Linked DNA regions of Saccharomyces cerevisiae S288C. The gene in region 1 interacts genetically with each later gene. Each region holds a gene or a part of one and is shown in the gene's direction. Other genes may lie near its edges.

The links.
Region 2: of STE12 (region 1) and FAR1, changing one suppresses a phenotype caused by changing the other (phenotypic suppression), as found in Saccharomyces cerevisiae (3 studies listed by BioGRID, with this or other methods).
Region 3: of STE12 (region 1) and STE11, changing one suppresses a phenotype caused by changing the other (phenotypic suppression), as found in Saccharomyces cerevisiae (5 studies listed by BioGRID, with this or other methods).
Region 4: of STE12 (region 1) and FUS3, changing one suppresses a phenotype caused by changing the other (phenotypic suppression), as found in Saccharomyces cerevisiae (3 studies listed by BioGRID, with this or other methods).

What each region holds. Positions count from the first base shown.
Region 1 is NC_001140.6:272,600-276,740, forward strand, and holds STE12 (homeodomain family transcription factor STE12), read left to right. Parts: upstream 1-1,574; coding exon 1,575-3,641; downstream 3,642-4,141. Other genes in the region: SAM complex subunit SAM35, read left to right, coding at 28-1,017. UniProt on the Saccharomyces cerevisiae protein: Binds to the DNA sequence mediating pheromone induction (called the pheromone response element = PRE) which is found in the upstream control region of several a-, alpha- and haploid-specific genes.
Region 2 is NC_001142.9:123,249-127,877, reverse strand, and holds FAR1 (cyclin-dependent protein serine/threonine kinase inhibiting protein FAR1), read left to right. Parts: upstream 1-1,549; coding exon 1,550-4,042; downstream 4,043-4,629. Other genes in the region: SSY5 (Ssy5p), read left to right, coding at 1-1,025. UniProt on the Saccharomyces cerevisiae protein: Inhibitor of the cyclin-dependent kinase CDC28. Necessary for cell cycle arrest. Involved in pheromone response. Contributes to mating efficiency. Required for oriented polarization of yeast cells in response to mating pheromones.
Region 3 is NC_001144.5:848,126-852,519, forward strand, and holds STE11 (mitogen-activated protein kinase kinase kinase STE11), read left to right. Parts: upstream 1-1,740; coding exon 1,741-3,894; downstream 3,895-4,394. Other genes in the region: DCR2 (phosphoprotein phosphatase), read right to left, coding at 1-999; YLR361C-A (uncharacterized protein), read right to left, coding at 1,258-1,554; NMD4 (Nmd4p), read right to left, coding at 4,370-4,394. UniProt on the Saccharomyces cerevisiae protein: Serine/threonine protein kinase required for cell-type-specific transcription and signal transduction in yeast. It is thought that it phosphorylates the STE7 protein kinase which itself, phosphorylates the FUS3 and or KSS1 kinases.
Region 4 is NC_001134.8:190,714-194,060, forward strand, and holds FUS3 (mitogen-activated serine/threonine-protein kinase FUS3), read left to right. Parts: upstream 1-1,737; coding exon 1,738-2,799; downstream 2,800-3,347. Other genes in the region: PEP1 (type I sorting receptor), read right to left, coding at 1-870. UniProt on the Saccharomyces cerevisiae protein: Together with closely related KSS1, FUS3 is the final kinase in the signal transduction cascade regulating activation/repression of the mating and filamentation pathways, induced by pheromone and nitrogen/carbon limitation, respectively.

The sequences.
Region 1 (4,141 bases):
AGGGCTAAAACGAAGCCATCGTGCACAATGGTAAGTTCATTCAGTGTTCCCATGCCAGTAAAACGGATATTTGACACATTTCCGTTACAAACATATGCTGCGCAGACTGACAAGGACGAGGCCGTTGCATTAGAAATACAGCGGAGGTCCTACACATTCACAGAACGCGGTGGTGGAAGCTCTGAGTTGACTGTGGAGGGGACGTACAAGCTAGGTGTTTACAACGTTTTTTTGGAGGCAAATACAGGGGCGGCATTGGCCACAGATCCATGGTGTCTGTTTGTTCAGCTTGCGCTGTGTCAAAAGAATGGTCTAGTCTTACCCACGCACTCGCAGGAACAAACCCCATCGCATACCTGTAACCATGAAATGCTCGTTCTGTCCCGTCTTTCTAACCCCGATGAGGCCCTACCTATTCTAGTTGAGGGTTACAAGAAGAGAATTATAAGATCCACCGTGGCAATCAGCGAAATTATGAGGTCTCGGATACTTGATGATGCTGAGCAGTTGATGTACTATACGTTGCTGGATACCGTGCTGTACGATTGTTGGATCACGCAAATAATTTTCTGTGCCTCAGATGCGCAATTCATGGAATTGTACTCTTGCCAGAAGTTAAGTGGTTCGATAGTCACTCCATTGGACGTAGAAAACTCTTTATTACAGAAGTTGTCCGCAAAGAGTTTGAAGATATCCCTAACAAAGCGGAACAAGTTCCAGTTCCGCCATCGAGAAATCGTCAAGAGTATGCAAGGAGTTTATCACAACCATCACAACTCCGTTAATCAAGAGCAGGTCTTGAACGTTTTGTTCGAGAATAGCAAGCAAGTTCTTTTAGGTTTAAAAGATATGTTGAAAAGCGACGGGCAACCCACTTACTTACATCTGAAAATTGCAAGTTACATTCTTTGTATAACGAACGTTAAGGAACCCATAAAGCTAAAGACATTTGTTGAAAACGAATGTAAAGAATTGGTCCAGTTTGCACAAGACACCCTGAAGAACTTCGTTCAGTAATCACTTTCAAGCTGTAGTATGTAAACGATATAGATGAAGTTTTCGTGTGTATAAATATATGAACTCTAGAGTGTTGCATAATTTGAAACACAGCATTTCTTTTCGGAGAGCTCGTTTCAAAATGAAACAAACGCCGTTGTCCGTTTTCGTCTCAATAGAAAAAGTGAAACAGATAAAAATTGTTTTAAAAGAAACGAATTTGCAACATCTTAAGATATATCAAAACTAATACAAAACAGCCTAAAAAAGATTGAACAACTCTTCGCGGTCAGGTCTCGACACCATAAATCGAAGTACTCGTACGCTAGTTTTCTCGCACATAGTACCACTACGTTCCTTTTACAATTAGATTACTTCTTTTTAGTTGACTTTTTTGAGACGTTCGTGCCATTCATAAAATAGGAAAAGATAACAGGTAAGCACTGAAGACTTGTTTTATAAGTGTCCCAAGCGAGACCTAGAGTGGATATTGATATTTCTCAAACAAGACTCGTCGAAGAAAACACACTTTTATAGCGGAACCGCTTTCTTTATTTGAATTGTCTTGTTCACCAAGGATGAAAGTCCAAATAACCAATAGTAGAACAGAGGAAATCTTAAAAGTTCAAGCTAATAATGAAAACGATGAAGTCAGTAAAGCTACTCCGGGCGAAGTTGAAGAATCGCTAAGGTTAATCGGCGATCTAAAATTCTTTTTAGCCACAGCGCCGGTAAATTGGCAAGAAAACCAAATTATAAGGCGATACTATCTGAATAGTGGACAAGGCTTTGTCTCTTGTGTATTTTGGAACAATCTATACTATATTACAGGTACTGATATTGTCAAATGTTGTCTTTACAGAATGCAAAAGTTTGGGAGAGAAGTAGTTCAAAAGAAAAAATTTGAAGAGGGTATTTTTTCAGATTTAAGAAATCTCAAATGTGGTATAGATGCAACTTTAGAACAACCAAAGTCCGAATTTTTGTCGTTTCTATTCAGAAATATGTGTCTGAAAACCCAAAAAAAGCAGAAAGTATTTTTTTGGTTCAGTGTAGCACATGATAAGTTGTTTGCGGATGCGTTGGAAAGAGATTTAAAAAGAGAAAGTTTGAATCAGCCTTCAACGACTAAGCCCGTTAATGAGCCCGCCTTATCTTTTTCATATGATTCCTCATCTGATAAGCCTCTCTACGATCAGTTACTTCAACATTTAGATTCTAGAAGACCATCTAGTACAACAAAATCAGATAATTCGCCTCCAAAATTAGAAAGCGAGAATTTTAAGGATAATGAGTTGGTAACAGTAACTAATCAGCCGCTTTTAGGCGTTGGCCTCATGGATGACGATGCGCCAGAATCCCCCTCTCAAATTAATGATTTTATTCCTCAGAAATTGATTATAGAACCCAATACTCTCGAATTGAATGGTCTCACAGAAGAAACGCCTCATGACTTACCCAAGAATACCGCTAAGGGCAGAGACGAAGAAGATTTTCCTCTCGACTATTTTCCTGTATCTGTTGAATACCCTACGGAGGAAAATGCGTTTGATCCGTTCCCTCCACAGGCTTTTACGCCAGCTGCCCCTTCCATGCCTATTTCCTATGATAACGTGAATGAAAGGGATTCTATGCCCGTTAATTCTCTTCTTAATAGATACCCCTATCAGTTATCAGTGGCACCCACTTTCCCAGTGCCACCATCATCATCGAGGCAACATTTTATGACAAATCGGGATTTTTATTCATCTAACAATAACAAGGAAAAATTGGTATCTCCTAGCGACCCTACCAGCTACATGAAGTATGACGAACCAGTTATGGATTTTGATGAATCTCGGCCAAATGAAAACTGTACAAATGCAAAATCTCACAACTCTGGCCAGCAAACTAAACAACACCAATTATATTCTAACAACTTCCAGCAATCTTACCCAAACGGAATGGTTCCAGGATACTACCCAAAAATGCCGTATAATCCCATGGGGGGGGATCCTCTACTCGATCAAGCCTTTTATGGCGCGGACGATTTTTTCTTTCCACCAGAAGGATGTGATAACAATATGCTGTATCCACAAACTGCAACTTCATGGAATGTTTTGCCCCCTCAAGCTATGCAACCAGCTCCAACCTATGTTGGGAGACCATACACACCGAATTATAGATCGACACCAGGTTCCGCGATGTTCCCATACATGCAAAGTTCAAATTCCATGCAGTGGAACACTGCTGTTTCACCTTATAGTTCGAGAGCACCATCTACAACTGCTAAAAACTATCCTCCTAGCACATTTTATTCTCAAAATATAAATCAATACCCACGGCGAAGAACTGTGGGAATGAAGTCTTCACAAGGAAATGTTCCAACAGGTAATAAACAATCTGTGGGCAAGTCTGCAAAAATTTCAAAGCCTCTACATATTAAGACAAGTGCTTATCAGAAGCAATACAAAATCAACTTGGAAACGAAAGCCAGGCCAAGTGCTGGTGACGAAGATTCTGCTCATCCTGATAAGAACAAAGAAATTTCGATGCCTACTCCGGATTCCAATACTTTGGTGGTCCAGTCAGAAGAAGGTGGAGCTCATTCACTTGAGGTAGATACCAATCGAAGGTCCGATAAAAACCTTCCAGATGCAACCTGATATAATATAATTTTTGAATTTATGATACAAGAATTAAAAATGCGGGCCAGAATTTAATATTAAACAATACTCAGAAGAAAACAACAAGGACAATCTGTTTTTATAAATAAAACAATCTTATACAAGACTAGAGCAAACAAAAAGCAAGAAAAAAAGGTAATAAATGTAACAAATCTATTAACGTTAGAAAATAACAAAAAAAAAAAAAGAAAAAGATAATATAATATAATACCTTTATATATGTGATTTATCTAGCGTCACAGTATGTAATATAAATATCAATGAGTTTCTTAACATGACCTCCAAAACTACATGATCGCTTAGTATTACAATATGTGTTTATCCACTATTTTGATACCAACGTAGTATTGCCTTTTATTTTTCAGAATGGCAAAGGCCATCGGAAAATTTTTCCACCAGAAAAAGCGAGATTCCTAATTATAAGGTGAAGGCATCGATGTTCATAATAGTTAAAAGTTGTAATCAAAAAAGAAAAAGGT
Region 2 (4,629 bases), on another chromosome or scaffold:
TAAAGGTTCTTTATTCGTTGTTCCCAGATGTACACATGTATTGTGTGAAAGATTACATTAAAAAAGCTGCATCAGCAGTAGGCAGTATTCCGTCTCATACCGCAGCAACTATCGATACAATAGCCCCAACTAAATTTCAGTTTTCCCCCCCATATGCAGTTTCAGAGAATCCACTTGAATTGCCAATTTCTATGTCTTTATCCACTGAGACAAGCGCTAAAATTACAGGTACTTTAGGGGGTTATCTATTCCCTCAGACTGGTAGTGATAAAAAATTTTCTCAATTTGCAAGCTGCTCATTTGCCATTACTTGCGCCCACGTTGTATTATCTGAGAAGCAAGATTATCCAAACGTCATGGTACCTTCTAATGTTTTACAGACTTCTTACAAGAAAGTTTTAACGAAAGAATCAGATAGGTATCCTGATGGTTCGGTGGAGAAAACAGCATTTTTGGAGGAAGTGCAAAGAATAGATCAAAACTTGAACTGGCAGAAATCAAACAAATTTGGTCAAGTAGTTTGGGGCGAGAGAGCAATCGTAGATCACAGATTATCAGATTTTGCTATTATCAAAGTTAATTCATCATTCAAATGTCAGAATACCCTAGGTAATGGCTTAAAATCATTCCCAGATCCAACATTAAGATTTCAAAATTTACATGTGAAACGAAAAATTTTTAAAATGAAGCCTGGGATGAAAGTATTTAAAATAGGGGCTTCTACGGGATACACTTCAGGCGAGTTAAATTCTACAAAATTAGTTTATTGGGCCGACGGAAAGTTACAAAGTAGCGAGTTTGTCGTTGCATCTCCAACTCCTTTATTTGCTAGTGCGGGGGATTCAGGCGCATGGATCTTGACCAAGTTAGAAGATCGTCTAGGTTTGGGGCTTGTTGGTATGTTGCATTCATACGATGGTGAACAGAGGCAGTTTGGTTTGTTCACACCTATAGGTGATATCCTGGAGAGACTACATGCTGTAACTAAAATTCAATGGGACATTGATCCACAACTAGATGGATGATTTGCCTTTTTGAAGTTATTTAACCCATTACAGGATGAAAAAAAAAAGACATTGCACTTGCATCACTGTAGGAGCGACTATAAAACTCACCTTCATTGTTGCTTTATTTTTCCAAGTAAGGAAAAATATCTGTTTACTTTCATTTACCTCTTTGGTTTTGTTAGGCGGGCAAGAGAGACCCGGTCGTTTCAGAATGCAACTTTCTTTTGTTTGCATATCTTTTTTTTTCAGCGATGCAATTTTCAACATGCAGCCATTTCACCGAAAATACCTAAAAAGGAAATAGGCAATAAAATGACATCGTAAAGGTTTCAAATGCGAAGGTACCTTGGTTCACAGTATATAATATATTCAAATTATTAAAAGAAAATAAAACTATCCTTTTTGTTCACTCTGTCTTGAGAGTGTATATTATCTTATCTATTCAAAAAATTTCTATTTACTTTTATATTTCTTGACCATCCTTTACACAAAGTCTATAGATCCACTGGAAAGCTTCGTGGGCGTAAGAAGGCAATCTATTAATGAAGACACCAACAAGAGTTTCGTTTGAAAAAAAAATACACACTCCACCAAGTGGAGATCGTGACGCTGAAAGATCACCACCGAAGAAATTTCTAAGAGGTTTATCGGGTAAAGTTTTTAGAAAGACACCAGAATTTAAGAAGCAACAGATGCCCACATTTGGGTATATTGAAGAGAGTCAATTTACTCCAAATCTTGGCCTAATGATGTCCAAAAGAGGCAATATTCCTAAACCACTGAATCTTTCCAAGCCTATATCTCCCCCACCAAGTTTGAAGAAAACAGCGGGATCAGTAGCATCTGGTTTTTCGAAAACAGGACAACTTAGCGCTTTACAATCGCCAGTAAATATCACAAGTAGCAACAAATACAACATCAAAGCTACAAATTTAACTACTAGTTTACTCCGAGAGTCGATTTCTGATTCTACAACTATGTGTGATACTTTGTCAGACATCAATTTAACGGTTATGGATGAAGATTATCGCATTGACGGCGATTCATATTACGAAGAAGATTCACCAACTTTCATGATCAGCCTGGAAAGAAACATAAAAAAATGCAATTCACAATTCAGTCCAAAAAGGTACATAGGTGAGAAATGTTTAATCTGTGAGGAAAGTATTAGTTCCACATTTACCGGTGAAAAGGTTGTGGAGTCTACGTGTTCACACACTAGCCACTATAACTGTTATTTGATGCTATTTGAAACTCTTTATTTCCAAGGCAAGTTTCCTGAGTGTAAGATATGTGGCGAAGTGAGCAAGCCAAAGGATAAAGACATTGTTCCTGAAATGGTATCCAAACTTCTAACGGGCGCAGGCGCTCATGATGATGGTCCGTCATCCAATATGCAACAGCAATGGATTGATTTGAAAACGGCGAGAAGCTTCACAGGTGAATTTCCTCAGTTTACACCACAGGAGCAGCTCATTCGTACTGCTGATATTTCATGTGATGGGTTCAGGACACCACGCTTATCGAATAGCAATCAATTTGAGGCCGTTAGCTATCTTGATAGCCCATTTTTAAATTCACCATTCGTTAATAAAATGGCAACTACAGACCCTTTTGATTTAAGTGATGATGAAAAACTGGACTGTGATGATGAAATAGACGAAAGTGCTGCTGAAGTGTGGTTTAGTAAAACGGGTGGTGAACATGTTATGGTCAGTGTGAAGTTTCAAGAAATGCGGACCAGTGATGATTTAGGGGTCTTGCAAGATGTGAATCATGTGGACCACGAAGAACTAGAGGAAAGGGAAAAGGAATGGAAAAAGAAAATTGATCAATATATCGAAACAAATGTGGATAAGGATAGCGAATTTGGCAGTTTGATCTTGTTTGACAAACTAATGTATTCTGATGATGGCGAACAATGGGTAGACAATAACCTTGTAATATTATTCTCCAAATTTCTAGTTTTGTTTGATTTTGAAGAAATGAAGATCCTGGGTAAGATTCCTAGAGACCAGTTTTACCAGGTAATCAAGTTCAATGAGGACGTACTACTTTGTAGTTTGAAGAGCACTAATATACCTGAAATATACTTGAGGTTCAACGAAAACTGCGAAAAGTGGTTGCTTCCCAAATGGAAGTATTGTCTAGAAAATTCTTCACTGGAGACACTACCATTAAGTGAGATTGTTTCTACAGTGAAGGAACTCTCTCATGTGAATATAATAGGCGCTTTAGGAGCGCCGCCTGATGTTATATCAGCACAATCCCATGATTCTCGTCTACCGTGGAAAAGATTGCACAGTGATACGCCGCTAAAACTTATTGTATGTTTGAATTTGTCGCATGCTGATGGGGAACTGTATCGCAAGAGAGTTCTAAAGAGTGTTCATCAAATATTGGATGGATTAAACACAGACGATTTACTGGGAATAGTTGTTGTTGGAAGAGATGGATCCGGTGTAGTAGGCCCATTTGGCACCTTCATCGGAATGATAAATAAAAATTGGGACGGATGGACAACTTTCTTGGATAATTTAGAAGTGGTTAATCCAAACGTCTTCCGCGATGAAAAGCAACAGTATAAGGTAACATTACAAACTTGTGAAAGATTAGCGTCAACAAGTGCATACGTGGATACAGATGACCATATTGCAACTGGATACGCCAAGCAAATCTTGGTCCTCAACGGGAGTGACGTTGTTGACATTGAGCATGATCAGAAATTAAAAAAGGCCTTTGACCAGTTATCTTACCATTGGAGATACGAAATTTCGCAACGCCGCATGACTCCATTGAACGCTAGCATTAAGCAGTTTTTAGAGGAGCTGCACACTAAGCGTTATCTAGATGTAACTCTTCGTCTACCACAAGCTACATTCGAGCAAGTATATTTGGGGGATATGGCTGCGGGTGAACAAAAAACGCGTCTAATTATGGATGAACACCCGCATTCTAGTTTGATAGAAATAGAATATTTTGACCTGGTAAAGCAGCAAAGAATTCATCAGACCCTGGAAGTTCCCAACCTCTAGTAGTTCGGGAATCGAGGCCCGTATTTCGAGGCTTTTGCTTTTCCTTTTTTTTTTTTCGTTTCTCCACGTCTATACTACGCAATGACTGAATATATATAATGCGTCGTAAATAGCAGTTAATGTATAAATAGAAATTGAGTAAACTTTAATTTTGCCTAAGAAAGAACCTATTGGCGATAATTAAATCTCGTCATATATGCACTATATATTTTTTTTCGTTTGGCGTTGTTTATCTATTTCCCGAACGGGATTATTTCCCTGAATTAGTTCATAATGAAAAAAACTCGCAGCCGGGTAACCCTCTTCGTACCAAAAATGCACGTGTCTGTACACAATTATACCAACATGGTTGTAGCATTTCAAGTTAGCTTGTTCGAGCTGTATAGTAAAAGAAACGTCGATGTGGCTAATTTGTTCCGGTGACTTTCAGGTCACGTGTTTTCCATGCGTGCGTTGCTTCTTCCTGCAAATCCACGGCTCGTAAAAGAGGACAATCAGCTTTTTTCCGTGGTGCCTGGCCGGGCCGCCTATGCATTCCATACGATTTCCACGGGCCAGATCCCGCCTAGCCCTTCCAGCTTTTCTTT
Region 3 (4,394 bases), on another chromosome or scaffold:
CATTGCCCACGGAATTTTTCTTGCAATGACGGGTGCTACCGCCTTTAATAATACGGTTTCAGAGTCTTGAATAGATCTATCACCCATGATTTGGTCACCAGTAAAAACAACCAACTGCGGTTTTTCAATGTCAAGAACTTGTTGAACGAAAGTTTCCGTTTTTGGATCTGCCTTGCAAGCTTCATGCTTTGGATACTCATCGATACATTCAGACTCCCCCACACCCAAGTGGAGATCCGCCAACTGAACAATTTTGAACTTTCCTTCATCAGTTTCTTGCAGCCGTTGAGCTCCTGTGTCTACAGGACGAGTACCAACGAATTTGTAAGTCAAATAAGCAGGTTCGCTGTAGCGGTATTTTACTAAGGGAAATTCTTTTTGAAGAGTCCAATTTGCTATCGGCTGGATGCAATCAACACCAAAGAGAATGTTAATATCGCTTATGTAGCTCCTTTTCTGCAATAGTTCTATGCTAATAGGCTCGAATGTGATGGATACATCCATAAAGGGTAGCGATTTGTCTTTAGGATATTTGGAAATTCCAGTTACTGCCTCAACATTTAGCTTTTCTAGGTTGGATCCAAAGTAGTCCACCAAAGCAGGGTATAACACATCATAGTAAAGGTATTCTGACTTTCCAAACCACCTGCGTCCAAAGGAACCTCTCAAGTCTTTATGAATTCTTTTCCTTTGTAAGTATTGGTGCCCATCAGTTAAAGTTGATTTAAGTTCATGCCGATTAAAACATCCTTCATAAAAACGACCAATATGAAAACATTCGTCATAGCCTATATTTACAACTAGCTTATCGTCATTTGAGAATCCCTCTAGACCTTTATTTTGGAACCATAGATTATCAACGTGTGATATCGGGAGTGCAAGGTCGAAACCAATGTGCTCTTCAACTCTTGGCGCCTGTAGGAAGTAAAATAGGGCAATCACTACAAAAACTACCAAGTATAATAGGTACCTTTGATACAGCCTCGGTAACCGGATCATGTTAAGATTTTTAACCACGGTGCTGGTCTTCGATACTTAAGTATAAAACTTGTATCAGAGGTATCTGCGATCTAAAAAGATTAATTTTTGAAAAAGATCAACACTAAACCATTTGAAATTCAAAAAGCACCTAAGGCAAAATATAAATCTAAATATACGTAAAATGGAAACACTTTCTGCGCAGCTTTATACAAGTTAGCCTTCTAGCTTATGAAATAGAAATGAAATATAACTGAGCAAGTCCTATATACAATACTATTAATGATCTTCTTGTCCATGAGACTGTTCATGGTGCCTTTTAGAGACTTCTTCATCACTTATCTGAGGCCTGTGGCCACCCGTTCTCAATAAACCACCGGCAGTATCTTCAACTGGAAATCTTGCACTGGGTCTTACGCAATGGGGCTTGCGTAACTGTTCAAAATCCATGATTTTAGTTTTCCCTCCCCCTTTTAAAGTAATCTTTGGATTCTCGCCCAACTTTTCCTCCACTTCTTTTATATTTTGGGTGCGTTCTTTACTATTATTATTATTATTATTATTACTAACTGCCATTATAGTTTCTTTATGCTGTCCTCACCATGCCTTTCGTTATCAGGCTAGCATTAAAAGCCTTTTAAGGTGTAAAGCTTTCGCCGCGATGGCTTTAAACAGTAGAAAATATTCATATTTACACACATGCATAAAGAGAGACCACTTAATAAAGCTAGTATGATAAGATCACCGGTAGACGAAATATACATGGAACAGACACAAACAGCAGAGGGCACTGACTTACTAATTGGTGACGAAAAGACCAACGATTTACCTTTTGTGCAGTTATTTCTGGAGGAAATAGGATGCACTCAATACCTGGATAGCTTTATTCAGTGCAACCTTGTCACAGAAGAAGAAATTAAGTATCTCGACAAGGATATCCTCATTGCTTTGGGTGTAAACAAAATAGGAGACAGACTCAAAATTTTAAGGAAGTCAAAATCGTTCCAGAGAGATAAACGGATTGAACAGGTGAATAGATTGAAAAACCTGATGGAAAAAGTAAGCTCTCTATCCACTGCTACGCTATCGATGAATTCAGAATTGATTCCTGAAAAGCACTGTGTTATATTTATCTTAAACGATGGTTCCGCTAAGAAAGTTAATGTAAATGGTTGCTTTAATGCAGATTCTATTAAGAAAAGGCTAATCAGAAGATTGCCACATGAATTATTAGCCACAAACTCCAATGGAGAAGTAACTAAAATGGTCCAAGATTATGATGTGTTTGTCTTAGATTATACCAAGAACGTACTGCATTTGCTATATGACGTGGAATTAGTCACTATTTGCCACGCAAATGATCGTGTTGAGAAAAATAGGCTAATTTTTGTTTCCAAAGACCAAACACCAAGTGATAAAGCTATATCCACATCCAAAAAACTATATCTAAGAACGTTGAGTGCATTGAGCCAGGTTGGGCCATCCTCGTCAAATTTGTTGGCACAGAACAAGGGGATTTCGCATAACAATGCTGAAGGGAAACTCCGGATCGACAACACAGAAAAGGACAGAATTAGACAGATTTTTAATCAGAGGCCTCCTAGCGAATTTATTTCTACCAATTTGGCCGGATATTTTCCTCATACAGACATGAAGCGGTTGCAAAAGACGATGAGAGAGTCATTTCGCCATTCAGCAAGGCTAAGCATTGCTCAAAGAAGACCTTTAAGTGCAGAATCAAATAATATCGGTGACATACTATTGAAACACTCAAACGCTGTTGATATGGCCCTATTACAAGGATTAGATCAGACAAGATTAAGCAGTAAACTTGACACAACTAAAATTCCGAAGCTTGCCCATAAAAGGCCAGAAGATAATGATGCCATATCTAACCAGTTAGAACTATTAAGTGTAGAGTCTGGTGAAGAAGAAGATCACGATTTCTTTGGGGAGGACAGTGACATTGTTTCATTACCGACGAAAATTGCCACGCCCAAGAATTGGTTAAAAGGTGCTTGCATTGGATCAGGCAGTTTTGGGAGTGTTTACTTGGGCATGAATGCTCACACTGGTGAACTAATGGCAGTAAAGCAAGTGGAGATAAAAAATAATAACATTGGTGTTCCCACAGACAACAATAAACAAGCCAATTCTGATGAGAATAATGAGCAGGAGGAACAACAAGAGAAAATAGAAGATGTTGGGGCGGTAAGTCATCCAAAAACCAATCAAAATATTCACAGAAAGATGGTTGATGCTTTACAGCATGAAATGAATTTATTGAAGGAGTTACATCATGAGAACATTGTTACTTATTATGGTGCTTCTCAAGAAGGCGGAAATTTAAATATTTTTCTTGAATACGTTCCTGGGGGTTCGGTTTCCTCCATGCTGAATAATTACGGTCCATTTGAGGAATCACTGATTACTAATTTCACTAGGCAAATACTGATTGGGGTTGCGTATTTGCATAAGAAGAACATTATTCACAGAGATATCAAGGGTGCAAATATTTTGATTGATATCAAAGGTTGCGTAAAAATTACTGATTTTGGTATTTCAAAAAAATTATCACCTTTGAATAAAAAACAAAATAAGAGAGCTTCTTTGCAAGGTTCCGTATTCTGGATGTCACCAGAGGTGGTCAAACAGACCGCTACTACTGCTAAAGCGGATATATGGTCTACAGGATGTGTTGTCATTGAAATGTTTACCGGTAAGCATCCTTTCCCAGATTTTTCTCAAATGCAAGCGATCTTCAAAATAGGCACAAACACGACCCCCGAGATACCTTCCTGGGCTACGTCAGAAGGAAAGAATTTCTTAAGAAAGGCATTTGAGTTGGATTATCAATACAGGCCTAGTGCCCTTGAATTGCTGCAGCATCCATGGCTGGATGCACACATAATTTGAAAAAGGGCTACTTATTAATTCTTTTTATGGCACTAAAGTGCTCTGGCCGATTTTTTATCAAATAATACATATATATCATATTTAGTGACATTTATTGAATATATCTGCTATTTACCGGTTTTTTTTTTTCAATTACGCTGATTAAGTAATCATAAATCACAATTGTGAAAAAAAGACCAAACTAGATGACGGTATTTGATTCTCATACCCCTGGAATAAAATCAAGTAAGATAATTCTGATAAAAAAATCCGACCGCACAGATGGAAGCACGAAGAAACAGGCCTTTCTTTGCGAGGTGATATCAAACCATTGATATCTTCTCAATAACCTGCTCTAGGAAAAGGAGGTAGATAGACAAAAGCAAGGAAATAATCCATAGAGTTTCATTCACATGAATAATCTGTTACCAATTTTTCTCATAAGATAAAGCCATCTATCAAAAATGATATTGAAATATTTGAAAAATGCTTGTTTTTATGGGGACCACAATTCGCCTGTA
Region 4 (3,347 bases), on another chromosome or scaffold:
ATTATATCTGTCGCCCTGGGTTAAGACAACCATGTGAGATTTCAATATCCTGTAACCATTGACGACCTTATCTTTAAATTGGTCAAATTCTTTTAGTGATTTGCCCCAGTCCGTAGTTAGGACCAATTTACTTTCGGTGTAAGGAGAACTAAACTCATCCATAATAAGCTGCATATTTTGAAAAAGACAGATTATTGAGGTATCACTACTTTCAAGGTCAGAATCTTTGCTGGTCTTGGCAAAGCCACAATCAGAAATGCTGATAGGACTATTTTCGTTCCTTTCTAGAGAAGACTTGATCTCAGAAAAGGATTTTCCACCATCATTACTTGCAAAAACCTTGTCTGTGCAACGTGTAATATTAAATATTTCAAATTGTCCCTCTTCGTCCCCCGAATTCTCTTCATTGTCATTGTTTACTTCTGTTTTCTCACAATAGTTGCACTTTGCAAGAAAATAGTTCTTATTCAAGGGATGGGTTTCTATATAGCATTCACGAGGTGAAATACTTTCTCCGGAGTCAGGTAGCGTTATACGCTCCCATGACTTACCTTGATCATTGGTTATATAAAGGTACGACCCATTCATTGCCGTTGCAACGGCTCTGTCATGTCTATTGAAGGGGTCGATGTATATCCAAGTGATTTCGCCTTCAATGCCTTCAACTTTTTCCCATGTTTCACCATCGTCAAAGCTTATAGTAACGGAGGTGTCTTGTTTTCTAATTAAAGTGTTGGAATCATCAAAGCTTAATATATCAAATGAATCTTGCGCGATAGTCTTTGTCACTTTGGGGGTGAATTCTTCGGCATTAGTTAAAGGAATGAGAAGTAAGGCCCAAAGAGAATAGACAAAATGAAGTAATATCATAACGTGTGATGACTACTGGACACTTCAGGGCTTTTCCAGATATACAGAGCTTTATAATACAATCTAAGGGCAAAATAAAAAAGGAAAAAGAGTACGGTAGTTGAGAAAAAAACCGGAAAGGAATTGCTTTAAAGATCTTAGTAGAATGAAATAGTACCACCTACTCGCCTCCTTTTTTTGTGCTTCTTGAGAGGTCTTTTGAGCTGTTGCATCATGCTGTTATTTAGAGGTTATTTTTTGACCTTGGTTTTTCCTTCTTTTCGCCGTACTCAGCCCGAGAAAAAAGCAGCGACTGCACTAAACTAGAGGAAAGAAGGCTTAAAACATCACGCGATCCATATAAAGACCCGAGTAGTTGGAGAGATTGACTACTTGACGTTCAAAAGAACATACATAAGGATAAATTCGTTCGGACTTTTTAACTTACACACATCTTTTGGTGTTCATTCAAGGGGCGGTAGTGCTTGTAGTCCGCACAGGCGGATACTTTTTAGTTTGGGAAGAGTTAACTGGAGAGGGCAGTTTACTTTCACATACTCTTTTATCTTTCTGAAGTAAAATGTGATGTACCTACAAGCAATGCATAAGCTCTTGAGTTTTAGATCTGTTTCACCCTGGAACTCAAAATTCTTTTACTCGAAATTTTTACTTTTTTTTTTTTTGTTTCTGCATTCTCTCAGATTTTAGATGATGCGGTTTTTTACAGGGCATTGAAACAATTGCAGAAAAGCAACATACTAATATATCATAACTTTTTACTCTTGCCTCTCAGAAACTATATATACGTTGTAATCATTTTCTTTCTTCTAATAGCTAGTTCGTTTGAACTACAAGGAAATAAGGCAGAGAAAAAGAAAGGAAAATAATATGCCAAAGAGAATTGTATACAATATATCCAGTGACTTCCAGTTGAAGTCGTTACTGGGAGAGGGTGCATACGGTGTGGTATGTTCTGCAACGCATAAGCCCACGGGAGAAATCGTGGCAATAAAAAAGATCGAACCATTCGATAAGCCTTTGTTCGCATTACGTACGCTGCGTGAAATAAAGATCCTGAAGCACTTCAAGCACGAAAATATCATAACAATCTTCAACATTCAACGCCCTGACTCGTTCGAAAACTTCAATGAGGTCTACATAATTCAAGAGCTAATGCAGACAGATTTACACCGTGTAATCTCCACCCAGATGCTGAGTGACGATCATATACAATATTTTATATACCAAACCTTGAGAGCAGTGAAAGTGCTGCATGGTTCGAACGTCATCCATCGTGATTTAAAGCCCTCCAACCTTCTCATAAACTCCAACTGTGACTTGAAAGTATGTGATTTCGGTTTAGCAAGAATCATTGACGAGTCAGCCGCGGACAATTCAGAGCCCACAGGTCAGCAAAGCGGCATGACCGAGTATGTGGCCACACGTTGGTACAGGGCGCCAGAGGTGATGTTAACCTCTGCCAAATACTCAAGGGCCATGGACGTGTGGTCCTGCGGATGTATTCTCGCTGAACTTTTCTTAAGACGGCCAATCTTCCCTGGCAGAGATTATCGCCATCAACTACTACTGATATTCGGTATCATCGGTACACCTCACTCAGATAATGATTTGCGGTGTATAGAGTCACCCAGGGCTAGAGAGTACATAAAGTCGCTTCCCATGTACCCTGCCGCGCCACTGGAGAAGATGTTCCCTCGAGTCAACCCGAAAGGCATAGATCTTTTACAGCGTATGCTTGTTTTTGACCCTGCGAAGAGGATTACTGCTAAGGAGGCACTGGAGCATCCGTATTTGCAAACATACCACGATCCAAACGACGAACCTGAAGGCGAACCCATCCCACCCAGCTTCTTCGAGTTTGATCACTACAAGGAGGCACTAACGACGAAAGACCTCAAGAAACTCATTTGGAACGAAATATTTAGTTAGCCATCATTATCATTAAAATATCAACCCGAAGAACAATGTATACATATACATATACGTACACATATACATATGTACATATGACATACGTATTAGCCGCTGAGGACGCGGACGTATAAAAGGACAATACTTATATGGAGCTAAGGGGAGCAGTTACGCAACTCCGTGATCGCGCGCCACGGGCCGTCGGCGGCTGTTAATTGAAGAAAAAAAAAATGAAGAACCACAAGGGGTGATCCATATAGGTGACTAGCATCATCCCCTGCGACGCGCGGCCCGCCGGGCCAAAGGCGGGCAATGCGCGCTGCTGATTGGCCTCGAGGACAACGCCCTCAACCACATCCGCAACAGCCAATCCCATCGGAGCGTCAAACTACCAAAGTAGTGATTGTATGGATGACCACTGTATTGTGGACGGTAAGCGCTTGCTGGAGCAAATGTGTAATCAAGTTGCTGTGTATATATAGACGTTAGATGTGTTCTACCCCTTCTTTTGTCTTGTGCCCACCGGGCTTACATTAGCACACAAAGCAGCAAGAGACCGTCTTACT